Arabidopsis thaliana: one gene and its partner. The protein of the gene in region 1 interacts with the protein of each later gene in a pairwise test. Each region holds a gene or a part of one and is shown in the gene's direction. Other genes may lie near its edges.

Region 1 (8,307 bases):
TTAGAACACGTACCCGTTAGAGTCTCATGTCCTTGTTCGTTGGGTTTGATGTTGGCTTCATCACTTTTTCCAGCGTTCAAGAGCTTGAGTACACCACGCCACTGCTCATCTGTAAGACCATTCACCGCATCTCGATCTCTATCAGTGATAACTCGATTAGCCCGTTCCACAGTGGTTAAGCCAGTTGTGACAGCATTCACATAAGAGGTTGGAGTGCGATTTTGTCCTCCATTAAAGCCTAGACCGGGTTTGCCTCTGCCTCGACCAGATTGTCCTCGCGGTCTATCGCCCCACCACTCTGGGTATCCAATGATCACAAAGCAGTTCTCCGGCGAGTGACCGCCACGATTGCAGTGCTTACAAACGTTCTTGTTGGGGAACTTTGCAGAACTAGGATCAATCTGTGGACGAGACTGAGTAGCAAAAGCAGTGACATCTAGCTTTTCTTCCTTAGAGTATCTATTGCTCAACATGTCCTCTTCTTGTCTCACAATGTTGTAGACTTCTTCGAGTCCAGGAAGAGGAACACGTGATGTTAAGCTAGACCGAATTGTATGAAATTGAGTTTCATCAAGTCCATACAGAAATTGTTGAACCATGTCATCTTCTCTACCTTTCTCCTGCTCAGCTTCAAGATTACACACACATCTTCCACATTTGCAGGTTCGAAGAGGACGATAGTTGTTGATATTATCCCAAATCTTGTTGAGTTTTCCATAATATCCTTCAACAGTCATACCCTCTTGTTTACAAGTAGCAAGATCTGCCTTCATCTTCTGATTCTTTGGACCACTAGAAACAGAGAAGCGTTTACGAGTGTGTTCCCAAAGATCTCTAGCCACGTCACGGTGGGAGATATTCGTCAAGAGCGCCGGGTCAATCGTCATCTTCATCCAAGACACTAGCAAAGCATTAATCGTTAACCAGTCCTCGAGGTCCAGAGATTCTGACGGCGGTTGTGGAATGGAGCCGTCAAGAAAACCAAACTTCTTCCGTGAGCGCAGTGCTGTTTTGAAGCCACATGCCCATTCATCATAATTAGTCGACTTCAAGATCGGGTGGGAGATCACAGCTCCAGAGTTATCAGCGACCGTTAAGTCATACGGCGAGATCGTTCGCCGGACTTCAGTTACAAGAGGAATTACCGGAGGAGCAGCCATTACTCCAAAAGAAACTCAAACTTTATCGATTTCAAATGAAAAACCCCAGCTTTAGCTCTGATACCATGACAAAATCAAGAGACAAGAGATAAAGATAAGGTTTTGTCTTGATAGCAGCTTAAGTGTTTCTCAGACACTTATACAAAGAGAAAGCGTTTCAGACCTAAAGGGACAAGAAGGGAAAAGACCAAAAGGGGTTACAAACAGTACATAAAGCAACATTAAGCTTAAGAGCAACTAATTGATGTGCTCTAAATAAGATAAGTAGCAATATCTTCAACAGAGAGATCTTTGCTTCGTTTTGTTAATCTTTTTGTTGGGTTTGATTTGGTCTTTGGTTAGTTGCAGAGTGGGAATAAGCTCCGCGTGTTTTGGTGTCAACTTGTTGTCCTAGTTTTTAGTTTTGTTTCAGTTAGTTCCTGCAATTTCTCTTTCACGTATTTGTAAGAAGACTGAGTCTTCATCTTTAGGCTATTTAAAGCCAAACAACTATGATAATAAAACATCGAAGCATTCAGTTTTAGTCTCTTTGTTCTCTCAGATCAACACTTTTGTATGTTTATGTAGCAAATATGTCATAGAGATTTGAAGATTGAGAAAACACTGCTTGATGGTAGTCTTGCACCGCTTTTGAAAATCTGTGATTACTTGGCTTTGATCTCATAGGTCATTCATTCATTAGTCTCTTTTTCTTCTTTTGTTTCAGTTTTGGTTCCCATTATTACTTGGCTTTGATCTCATAAGTTTTTTTTTTAAGGAAACCCATTTAAGGATTCTACCTTTGGAGAAGAGAATTTATAAAAACTTGACAAAAACTCTAACCTTCAAAATTATTAATATTTGTTATTAAGAAATTTAAAGGATTCCTTATAAAAAACCCACCAATGGATTTGCTTTAAGATCCATTAAGATACTTATTGGAACCTGGAACCAAATCAAAACTCTTTTTTTTTTTTTTGGTTCGGTTCGGTTCAGTTCCAGTTTTATGGCAAAACCTAAGTTTAGGGGTAAATTGGAAAATATTCAAAAGTTTTAGCCAAATATCAAAGTTTTTACTAATTATCAAAAGACACACTCGAGAAATTCATAAATGGGCTAACTTTTATCAGAGAGCCCACTAAACAATCGGCCCGTTAGCCAAGAAAATCGTCACCGGCGTCTTCCATTCCAACATTTCTCCGTCATCGTCTCTCTCTCTCTTTTTTTTTTGTGTGTGCAAAACGTCTCTCTCTCTGTCTCATAAAATCTCAGAGAAGAAACATCGTCGGGTCAGGTCGAAGAAAGGAGAGAAATGAGTGGTCACGATTCGAAATACTTCTCCACGACGAAGAAGGGAGAGATCCCTGAGCTCAAGGAAGAGCTTAATTCCCAGTATAAGGTTTTTTTTTTCTTCTTAATCTTACTCTTGTCTCATTCCATGTGGATCTGTGATCCGCCATTATTACATTCACGATCTCTCGGTCGATGATCCTTCTCTCCTTGTAATTTAGTTATCCTTATACAAATTTTGGTAGATCTGTGTAGTTCTGGATTTTGAATTTTGAATTGAAATTGGTTTCGTGATTTTGTGGGAAGTGCGATGATTCCGTTCATTTTTCAGTAACTGATTGGGATATAGGTTAGAATTGGAGAGGAATTGGTAGGTTTTTGAGAATGGCTAATGTGGAGATGTGTGTGCAATCTCGTAGTAACTTTAGTGAAGCTTAGGTTGGTGAATCAGAACTTGTTCGATCTGGATCAGTGGATTTGGATGAAGAGTTTATGTTAATGATTTAAGAAGGAATGGTTCTTTTCTGCTTTGGCTACAGTTTTGTTAACCCTTGTTGTTTATTTACTGTTGCATAGGATAAGAGAAAAGATGCAGTTAAGAAGGTTATTGCGGCGATGACTGTTGGAAAGGATGTTTCATCACTTTTCACTGATGTAGTCAATTGTATGCAAACGGAAAATTTGGAGTTGAAGAAGCTTGTTTACTTGTATCTCATAAATTATGCGAAAAGCCAGCCAGATCTTGCTATTCTTGCAGTAAATACCTTTGTAAAGGTAACACTCAAGCAACTCAAACAAAACCACGTGGCATTCCTTTGTTCTGTTCTGAACCTGAAGGGGAAAGGAACTGATAAACTGATCATTACAAAATCATTGGTTTGTATTCTGCAGGATTCACAGGATCCAAATCCGCTGATTCGTGCTTTGGCTGTGCGGACAATGGGCTGCATTCGTGTTGATAAAATCACAGAATATCTATGTGATCCTCTTCAAAAGTGCCTAAAGGTTTGAGTTTCTAATGTTACATCTTCATTGGAATCTGATATCAAACATCTTTATTGCCCTTAAGAACCTGTTTCATCTTGACTAGTCCATCTTTTCACTATCCTGTGTATATTTTTTGTGTTTAGGATGATGACCCATATGTCAGGAAGACTGCGGCTATTTGCGTCGCTAAGCTTTTCGACATAAATGCTGAATTAGTTGAGGACAGAGGTTTCCTTGAAGCCTTGAAGGATTTGATATCAGATAACAATCCAATGGTTGTTGCCAATGCTGTAGCAGCCCTTGCGGAGATTCAAGAGAACAGTAGTAGCCCCATCTTTGAGATCAATAGTACCACTCTTACAAAGCTCCTTACTGCTCTAAATGAATGCACTGAGTAAGTCCTCTCCATTTCCGTAGTTTCACTGCATTCTGTTCGATTTTGAGTATTTATGGCCCCATTGTCCAGTCAGGGTTTAGGGGATGTTGATGGTTGTGAAATAGCTTGTTTGATGTGGTATGGCCTCTGTTTGGATATCATTCCGTTGTCTTTGTAACTATTTTCAAACAGCAGTTTAGAATTTTTCGTCATTGATGGTTTTATCTGTAGATAATGACCCAGTATATAAACTTTGGGGAAGAGAAGCATAAAATGAGTAATGGATAAGCTTTTGGTAGCTTCATTTTTAGTACTGACCATGATCATCGCAGGTGGGGTCAAGTTTTTATACTAGATGCTTTATCGAAGTATAAAGCAGCTGATCCCCGTGAGGCTGAAAATATTGTTGAGAGAGTAACACCAAGGTTGCAACATGCCAACTGCGCTGTTGTTCTTTCAGCTGTTAAGGTGAGCGACTTTCATTGATTGTTATCCTCTCTACTTCTAGTTGGTAGCTCGTCAAACTTGATTGTAAAACATCAGGCATCATCAAATGCCTTTGCATATTTTCCTATTGCGTTCTCACTTCTGTTTCATATTTGGTAATTGCCTGACAGATGATCCTTCAACAAATGGAACTTATTACTAGTACAGACGTGATTAGAAATCTTTGTAAGAAGATGGCTCCACCCCTTGTTACATTGCTTTCTGCCGAACCTGAGATACAATATGTTGCACTTCGTAACATTAATCTTATTGTGCAAAAACGACCCACTATCCTTGCCCATGAAATTAAGGTAGCATGACCTGTGTCTCATAGTTCCTCAGAATAAACAACTGATGTATCCGTGCATTTATTGATTATGTTGAAAGTGATATTCTTTTTGTTTTAGGTTTTCTTCTGCAAGTATAACGACCCAATTTATGTTAAGATGGAGAAGTTGGAGATTATGATTAAACTTGCCTCTGACAGAAACATAGACCAGGTATCCTCACTGAGCTCTACCATCTGCTGTGTGTCTTGATTATTATTGGTGCATATCTTTATGATTTTTGAAAATTGCTACTCTAGGTTCTTCTGGAATTCAAAGAGTATGCCACAGAAGTAGACGTTGATTTTGTTAGAAAGGCTGTTCGTGCGATAGGCCGATGTGCTATCAAACTAGAGAGAGCAGCTGAACGGTGCATCAGTGTTTTGCTCGAGTTGATCAAGATTAAAGTGAATTATGTTGTCCAGGAGGCCATTATTGTCATCAAAGATATCTTCAGAAGATATCCAAACACGTAAGTTGACATTTCTCAATCACTGTTGAAATGGCATCTTAAAACTCTTCTTTGATTTTGGTTATGCTATTCAAATATTTCATACAGGTATGAGTCCATAATTGCAACACTCTGTGAGAGTTTAGACACTTTGGATGAACCAGAAGCTAAGGTATTGAACTTTTTTGATTTTGGTTTGGAAAATTGAAATTTACCATCTTCATTTAATCTTAAATCACTGAATTCGGTATCTTTTGGTAACTTGAAAGGCATCTATGATATGGATCATTGGTGAATATGCTGAAAGAATTGACAATGCCGATGAGCTTCTTGAAAGCTTTCTGGAGAATTTTCCTGAGGAACCAGCACAGGTCCAGTTGCAGCTCCTAACTGCTACTGTTAAGCTATTCCTGAAGAAGCCAACTGAAGGCCCTCAACAAATGATTCAGGTTCGGCTTTTTCCTTGCTCACCACTGTTTTTATGATCGATTCATGAGCATGTATGTAATGACAGGCATGTTTTCCGTTATGCTTGATGTTTTCAGGTTGTCTTGAATAATGCTACTGTGGAGACGGATAATCCTGATCTCAGAGATCGTGCATACATATACTGGCGTCTTCTATCCACTGATCCTGAGGTGTGTGTTACCTTGATTTCTTATAGCTTTCTAGTAATCAACCAGTAGAGAATGAATATATTCAGGATTGGTTATTCAAGCAACAAGCAATTTTTATCAGTTGAGCTTTCTCTTGAGATGTATTTGGCTGAACTCATCATTTCTCTTGATTAGGCTGCCAAGGATGTTGTCTTAGCTGAAAAGCCCGTGATTTCTGACGACTCAAACCAGCTAGACCCATCACTTCTTGATGAGCTTCTTACAAATATTTCGACCTTGTCCTCTGTGTACCACAAACCCCCAGAGGCTTTTGTTACCCGCTTGAAAACGACAGTTCAGAAAACAGAAGACGAGGACTTTGCGGAAGGAAGCGAAGCAGGATACTCATCTAGTAATCCGGTTGATAGTGCAGCTTCTCCTCCAGGTAATATCCCACAGCCTTCCGGAAGACAACCAGCACCAGCGGTCCCAGCTCCTGTACCTGATCTGCTAGGTGACCTGATGGGATTGGATAATGCCGCTATTGTCCCGGTTGATGATCCCATAACTCAATCTGGGTGAGTTATGTCTTGATTAATGAAACTTTCTATTGTTGGGACTAGTTTATTACGTTAGGTCAATTTCGGTTGCCTAGTTCATACTGAAACTCATCAAATCTTATGAACTTGATCGTAGTCCTCCTCTGCCCGTTGTCGTCCCAGCTTCAAGTGGTCAAGGTCTGCAGATAAGCGCTCAATTATCCCGAAAAGATGGACAAGTATTTTACAGTATGCTCTTCGAGAACAACTCGCAGTCGGTTCTTGATGGTTTCATGATTCAGTTCAACAAAAACACATTCGGCCTTGCAGCTGCTGGATCTCTTCAGGTAACTCTATCTGAATCTAATTAACGTCTGAAACTCAGGTCTGAATCATTGAAACCAATATCCATGTCTGTACTGTTTCAGATTCCGCCTTTGCATCCCGCAACATCCGCCAGGACAATGCTACCTATGGTCTTGTTCCAAAACATGTCTGCTGGGCCTCCAAGCTCGCTCTTACAAGTCGCTGTCAAAAACAACCAGCAGCCCGTGTGGTACTTCACCGATAAGATTATACTTCATGCTCTTTTCGGTGAAGACGGTAGAATGGAACGTGGAACCTTCCTTGAGGTAACATACTTCAAAACTTGAGCTGTTCATATCGGTTCTGGTTTAGGAAAATAGTGACGACTGTGAAACCAAATCGGTTAGAGATAAATTTATACGGTTTGGGTTTTCATTTGGATATATCTTTATGTTTTCAAAGATTTTAAGTTTTTGTTTGCTTTTTAATCAGACATGGAGGTCGTTACCGGACTCAAATGAAGTCCTGAAAGAATTCCCCGGGATCACCATCACGAGCGTCGAATCAACTATCGAATTGCTCACAGCATTCAACATGTTCTTTATAGCAAAGCGCAAGAACGGGAACCAAGACGTGATCTACTTATCAGCCAAAGATCCACGAGATGTACCGTTTTTGATCGAGCTCACTGCAATGGTGGGCCAACCAGGTCTCAAATGCGCAGTGAAAACTCCCACTCCCGAGATTGCGCCTCTCTTCTTCGAAGCTTTGGAGCTTCTCTTCAAGGCTTGATGATTAACGTTGTTATCAAAAGGCTAATAAGACCAAGACCTGAAAGGTTTCAGAGATTCTTTCTTGTTTCGTTATATCCCACCTTTTTTCTTCTTCTGAGTTTAGTGTATGTAATAAATCCCATGTTTGTGTTACTTCCGGTTGCACCCTTTTAGTTTGGTATTTGTAATGCTCACTATTTTCTTATAATTCTTGTATCGGAACCACATTTTTTTTCTTTCGATATTTAATCCGGGAAATGCTGGTTTCTGAACTAATAAGGAAGATCAAACACCATCAAAGGACCAGATCACCATGGAAAATCAGTGATCTAGCTACATTGGAGCCGTTGATGATGCTAGTGATGGACAATGCCAAAACTTTCAAACATTTCTTTTAGGTGATAGGTACACTTGGGGCTAGAGACCAAAGACGGTTATTCTTGTATTTTAAAATCAGAATTGCTATCAGAAGCATGTGTTTTGTCATGCAGTGTGCAATTTGGAGTTTCTTTCAGGATATGCTAGCCACACTAAGTTTGCATCAGAGTGAAACATAGTAGTATCCTTTTAGAAAGTAAGGCATCGGCTCTTAAGTTAAACACAATTTGGATAGACATATGTGGACATGCAAAAGTTATCGTGGGAGGAGTGTTGGGAAACATATCTCCACCTATATCGTTTGGTCCAGGTACTATAGTTTTGAAGAAGATTATAAGAACAAAGATAAAAGAATAACTCTCTTTTCTTAACTCCATTCACTAATTGTACTAGAATGACAAGCAAAGCAAGTATAAAAAGAGGTTTCCACTATTAAAAAAAAAGAGATATTTTTTTTCACCTTCACTTGTAAAAGTGAACAGAGATTTGAGCATCATTGTATTGAGAAAGGAGTTGCATCAATCATAGACAAAATCAAAACAGAGGTAAGACAGCTAATGCAAAAGCTGATACTTGCTTAAGCTGTTAGACCAACTGTGACACTGGAATTAATCTACTGTGAACGTGGAAGTGGACACTGATGAACATCAACTAGAGTGA
Region 2 (5,049 bases), on another chromosome or scaffold:
GGCTCGGGAGATCCTACCCTTACATTTGAGTATGATATATCTGCCTCTTAATCACAAACCCAACCTCGATCACAGATTTTCTTCATTTGCAATTGTTGACCCCTTTTATCTACAGGTTAAAAGAATTCATCAAGGAACAATTAATTACTATTCCAATGGGATCTCGAGCTCTAGTTCCAGCAGCAGGTCCAGCACCATCACCAGCAGTTCAACCGCCTAGCCCAGCGGCTTTAGCTGATGATCCAGGAGCTATGCTTGCTGGCTTACTTTAAATTCATTGGGATAAAAGATTACTTGCACATGTCGAAAAGTTTGTTTTCTGTTATTGTAGAATGTAATGGCGAAAATATGGAATGATGGGAGAGTAAATGTAGAGCCAAGGGAGAGAAAAAAGCTAGTTTTGATTATATTTGTGCCGTTTATCCAAAGCGGGCGGGTTGCGTTAGGTAAGAAATTTTGCATTCATTCTGAACATTTGTATTGTGAGGTCAGTGGTTGTATCAGCTTGTTCTTGTGCCTATATATTTTCAATCTGTTTCTCCATGAGTTTTCTGATGGGAGGTCTGTTTTTTCGCACCAGCCTTCACATTGAGAGATTTTAATGTTGTCATAAAGGGGGGAAATTGCAAAAACACATCCAACGCATAGCATTTCACCTGTAAAAACCTGATCTAATTTGAGGTGTGAATAGAGTGGGGACTTGGCCTTGGTGGGACATTCAACCGACATATATACAACCAGATTTTTACTATTACTTTGAAGAATATAATTGAAAGAAAATTTTTTTTTTACTATTTTTAATTTTCTTACAAACTGCTTATGGATTTAAAAGCTGTTTTATCAATTTTTGCATGATTTTTTTTTGTTTTTACTACATAATTTGTAATTGACAAAAGTATGATTTTTTTATATTACTATATCATTTGTAATTTTGCAAATAAAAAAAAATATAAGAACCCTAGATCCGGGGCTTGTGAAACAAGAGTGATTAAGCAAAATTTGAGTAAGTCTGACTTTTGCAAGTTTGCTTCACCAACATCAATGTCGCTCAAGTTGAAGAAGCAACTTCTCTTAAAGTATCGAATACCCTAAAATTTGTCATGCCTTGAAGAAAAACTCAACCGAGATATTGGAGCTGTTCGAAATACCTAAGAAATCAGCCGATGTTGCTAACGCAAAGGGACAATATCTTCCATAAAACTAAAAATGTTCAATAAGCAGGGCCGACCCAAATCTAAAGCCCAGCAAGCTGATGCTTTATCATCACAATCATATAAAAGCCTTGTAGTTTAATGGTTGGTGCTTCCATTAGTTATATAAGTTTACGAGTTCGATACTCAAACTGCCAAACAACAACATCCTAGGAGCATACGCTATCGCCGTCACTGCTTTTCTAGCTCAACAATTCGTCCTATTCATCGTCTTGTAGATTATGATCTTGTTATGAGACACATTTAGTATTTCAAAAACGAGAGTAGTGACAATACTTTCCTATTCACCAGAGTAATTTGGTTGCAATGATTCTAGCAAAATTGTTATCTGAAATATAGAGTATCTAAAATCTTTATTCAAAAGATTTCATAATACATTGAGTAAAATTATAAAATGCTCATAACAAAAAATAATCAAATCAGCACTGCGTATAAACCATTTGTTTCGTTCCCACTAATACCAACAAATACCATGTCTGACGAAAAAAAAAAAAAAAAAGTTGGGACCAGCTAAACCATTGCATGACCTGACCTGACCCGAATTCATAACCGGATTTTCTCATGGTACATTTTTTTTGTTAAGGATTTTCTCATGGTACATTGAATTACAACTGAATGCATTGACCGCGACAGAAAACAGTCATTTTAAAAATAAATGAAAAAGTGAAACCAGAAACAGCAGTAAATAAATATTACCCAAAAAGGCAGAAGGATACACTTTTTAACAAAATATTACGCAAACTTATAAATCCTCAAATTTAGTCCAAATGTCTAGACGCGTTAATTCTGTTTTTCGACGGGTCAATTTCGGATTCCAATTTCAAAACAGACAAAAACTGAATTACACAAAATTGAATAGTCAAAGTTGTAAATAAAGAAAAATAAAAGTCGTCTCTCGTCTCTCTCCCGCAGGCGTGTCTCTCTTCTCCAAAGATCAGTCTCTCCTTTTGAATTTCTTCGATTGAAGGTGCCATTTTCCGTTTCTAGATTGGGATTTCGATCTCACCTCTCTCGAATTGCTTATGCTTCAGCTTTAGTCTGTGGTTTATCTCGTAGTTAGATCCGGTGCCGCGAGTTTGGATCTGCGCCGTGTGAGGCGGCGGAGCACGGTGGATTTGAGGATTTGGTTCAACCATGACCGGAATGAGAGGTCTCTCCGTATTTATCAGCGACGTTCGTAATTGCCAGAACAAGGAAGCGGAGAGACTACGAGTTGATAAGGAGCTCGGAAACATTCGTACATGCTTCAAGAATGAGAAGGTTACTCTCAATTCTCTCCATTCTATTTTCTATGTTTTGATTCTCATTAGAGAGGTAATTCAGTGTCGAGTATCCGCTGAGGTTTTGGTTTATTAGAGATATTGGAGATTTATCCTTCGCAGTTGCAATGCCAATGCAATCGAATGTTAGAGCTATTAGGTTGATTAGGGAGTTAGATAAGAATGTAGATGAAACAAAGATACAGTCACTGGTCACATGCCGAGTGGATAGTTTTGGAGCTTGTAGTTTCTTACTTTATCGGATTGAGGCAATAAATTTTGATTTAACACCAATTGTGAAAATAGATAGGCAGTATAATGTTGCCGTTGTATAGCTAGCTCAAATCCTTGTAGATTAGCAATTATTCTACCTTTTGAAACATCACTACTATTGCTTTCAACTTGGAATTTCATTACTGAATATATGATGACATTTAGGAACTAGAAGAAAAGAATGGTCTGGCAGTAAATTCGGTTATGTAGTGATGGTCTAAGAAATTAAATCATGGTCACGGAAAATTTTGAATAGCTCATTACGAAGTAGATTAAGCTTTGTTGCTGTAAGAACTTCTGGAGTGAAATTCTTGTTCCATCTTACACGTAGCAGAGCTGTAGCAGGCCTGTAGTGGATCCATGTGTTTCCAGTTGGACCAACATTAAACTTATTCTTTTTCGGGGTTCATGTTAGAAATGAATTAATCAAGAACTCTTTGATTACTTGACATTCTGTTTTATTTTTGCAGGTTTTGACACCATATAAAAAGAAGAAATATGTCTGGAAAATGCTTTATATACATATGCTAGGCTACGATGTGGATTTTGGCCATATGGAGGCGGTTTCTCTTATATCTGCGCCAAAGTATCCAGAAAAGCAGGTAAACCAACGTTTTGTTTGCTCAAACAAAGAAATTTTTCTTTGTAAGGCTAGGAGAAGATAATAGATGGAGGTGTTTGCTGAAATATATTCTATTGATCAAGCTGAAACAAAGAAAGTTTCATTGAAGATCACACAGTTAGATCTAGATACCATTTCATGCGTTTGCAACTTGACTTGACCTGGGAAAGTATTGCAGACAATTACTTATAAGCACGAGTTACTTAGTAACATCTTAGAAACTCTTAACCAGAACCATGCATTGTATCTCAAGGGTTTGTATTTCCAATTTATATTGTTTCATGCTCCTTAACTAATTTGCAGGTATTGAACTTTTCATCCATGATTACAGGTTGGCTACATTGTTACATCTTGCTTGCTCAATGAGAACCATGACTTTTTGAAGTTGGCAATAAATACAGTGCGGAACGATATTATTGGTCGGAATGAGACTTTCCAGTGCCTAGCACTGACCTTGGTATGTGGTCTTTTGTCCACCCTGTATTGAGATTTTAGAGCATAGTTAGGTTCTTCTGATTATAAGATGTTGTTAAATGACTGTTTTAATGGAAGTCTTTGGTACATTATGTCTTTTGTGCTCTATCATTTCACGATTCAGAGCCACTTACTTCATGAAACTGGTCCTTTCTTTCTAGCTTTCTTACCTTGCCATGCTTACGTTCTCCTGTAGGTTGGAAATATCGGTGGAAGGGATTTTGCTGAATCATTGGCACCTGATGTTCAAAAGCTACTTGTAAGTGACTCCTAAAGATGAGAGGTTATATTTTTTTCCAATATTACTAAACATATTATGTTATGGGGTCTCTTTGCTGCAGATTTCTAGTAGTTGCAGACCTCTTGTAAGGAAAAAAGCAGCACTGTGCCTACTGCGCTTATTCCGAAAAAATCCTGATGCTGTCAACGTGGATGGCTGGTGTGTATAACACTGTGGGGTTACTGGTTCTTTGATTTTACTAGTGCATCTTTCATATTCTCTTTGTCGTATACTTCCAGGGCGGATCGTATGGCACAACTTTTGGATGAACGAGATCTTGGTGTCTTGACGTCTTCTACGAGTCTTCTTGTAGCTCTGGTATCTAATAATCATGAGGCGTACTCAAGTTGTCTACCTAAATGTGTCAAAATATTAGAACGCCTTGCTAGGAACCAAGATGTTCCTCAGGAGTACACATACTATGGCATCCCATCTCCTTGGCTCCAGGTTTGACTTAACTCGGCTTATTCACTCTTGTTTAATAGCTTAAATATTCTTTAATCGCATCCTTTTCACAAATCCTGTGCATTTTAAACATTTTATGTGAAATTAGCTTATGAAAATAGAGGCTTGGCCCAGCTTTGGTGTATTTTTGTTACTCAGTTAAAGATATCGTGGATACTTATATATCTTTGGTTAGTACAGGTTAAGGCAATGAGGGCTCTTCAATATTTCCCGACCATTGAAGATCCCAGTACCAGAAAAGCTCTGTTTGAGGTTCAATATTTTCATGTGTAAATCTGTAATATATGTCTTTGAATTTCCTCTCATGGCATGGCATTTCATGGAAATTTCAGGTCCTTCAGCGAATATTGATGGGGACAGATGTTGTGAAAAATGTGAATAAAAACAATGCGTCTCATGCTGTGCTGTTTGAAGCTCTATCCCTGGTAAGTTCGTCGGATAGCTGGGGAAATGTTGATACCATGA

Evidence for each region.
Region 2: the proteins of AT4G11380 (region 1) and alpha-ADR interact in a protein complementation assay, tested with the Arabidopsis thaliana proteins (one study listed by BioGRID).

Annotation. Positions count from the first base shown.
Region 1 is NC_003075.7:6,918,157-6,926,463, forward strand, and holds AT4G11380 (Adaptin family protein), read left to right. Parts: upstream 1-2,332; 5' UTR 2,333-2,451; coding exon 2,452-2,538; intron 2,539-2,735; coding exon 2,736-2,778; intron 2,779-2,848; coding exon 2,849-2,871; intron 2,872-3,005; coding exon 3,006-3,203; intron 3,204-3,320; coding exon 3,321-3,434; intron 3,435-3,559; coding exon 3,560-3,810; intron 3,811-4,124; coding exon 4,125-4,260; intron 4,261-4,409; coding exon 4,410-4,589; intron 4,590-4,685; coding exon 4,686-4,778; intron 4,779-4,864; coding exon 4,865-5,076; intron 5,077-5,163; coding exon 5,164-5,227; intron 5,228-5,324; coding exon 5,325-5,504; intron 5,505-5,600; coding exon 5,601-5,693; intron 5,694-5,846; coding exon 5,847-6,229; intron 6,230-6,347; coding exon 6,348-6,537; intron 6,538-6,618; coding exon 6,619-6,822; intron 6,823-6,988; coding exon 6,989-7,288; 3' UTR 7,289-7,420; downstream 7,421-8,307. Other genes in the region: AT4G11373 (Serine/Threonine kinase catalytic domain protein), read left to right, coding at 1,503-1,607.
Region 2 is NC_003076.8:7,585,323-7,590,371, reverse strand, and holds the start of alpha-ADR (alpha-adaptin), read left to right. Parts: upstream 1-2,049; 5' UTR 2,050-2,345; coding exon 2,346-2,471; intron 2,472-3,213; coding exon 3,214-3,345; intron 3,346-3,696; coding exon 3,697-3,822; intron 3,823-4,035; coding exon 4,036-4,098; intron 4,099-4,180; coding exon 4,181-4,278; intron 4,279-4,358; coding exon 4,359-4,566; intron 4,567-4,764; coding exon 4,765-4,836; intron 4,837-4,916; coding exon 4,917-5,009; intron 5,010-5,049. Other genes in the region: AT5G22780 (Adaptor protein complex AP-2, alpha subunit), read left to right, coding at 1-29, 116-272; AT5G22785 (uncharacterized protein), read right to left, coding at 528-656, 667-729. UniProt on the Arabidopsis thaliana protein: Subunit of the adaptor protein complex 2 (AP-2). Adaptor protein complexes function in protein transport via transport vesicles in different membrane traffic pathways.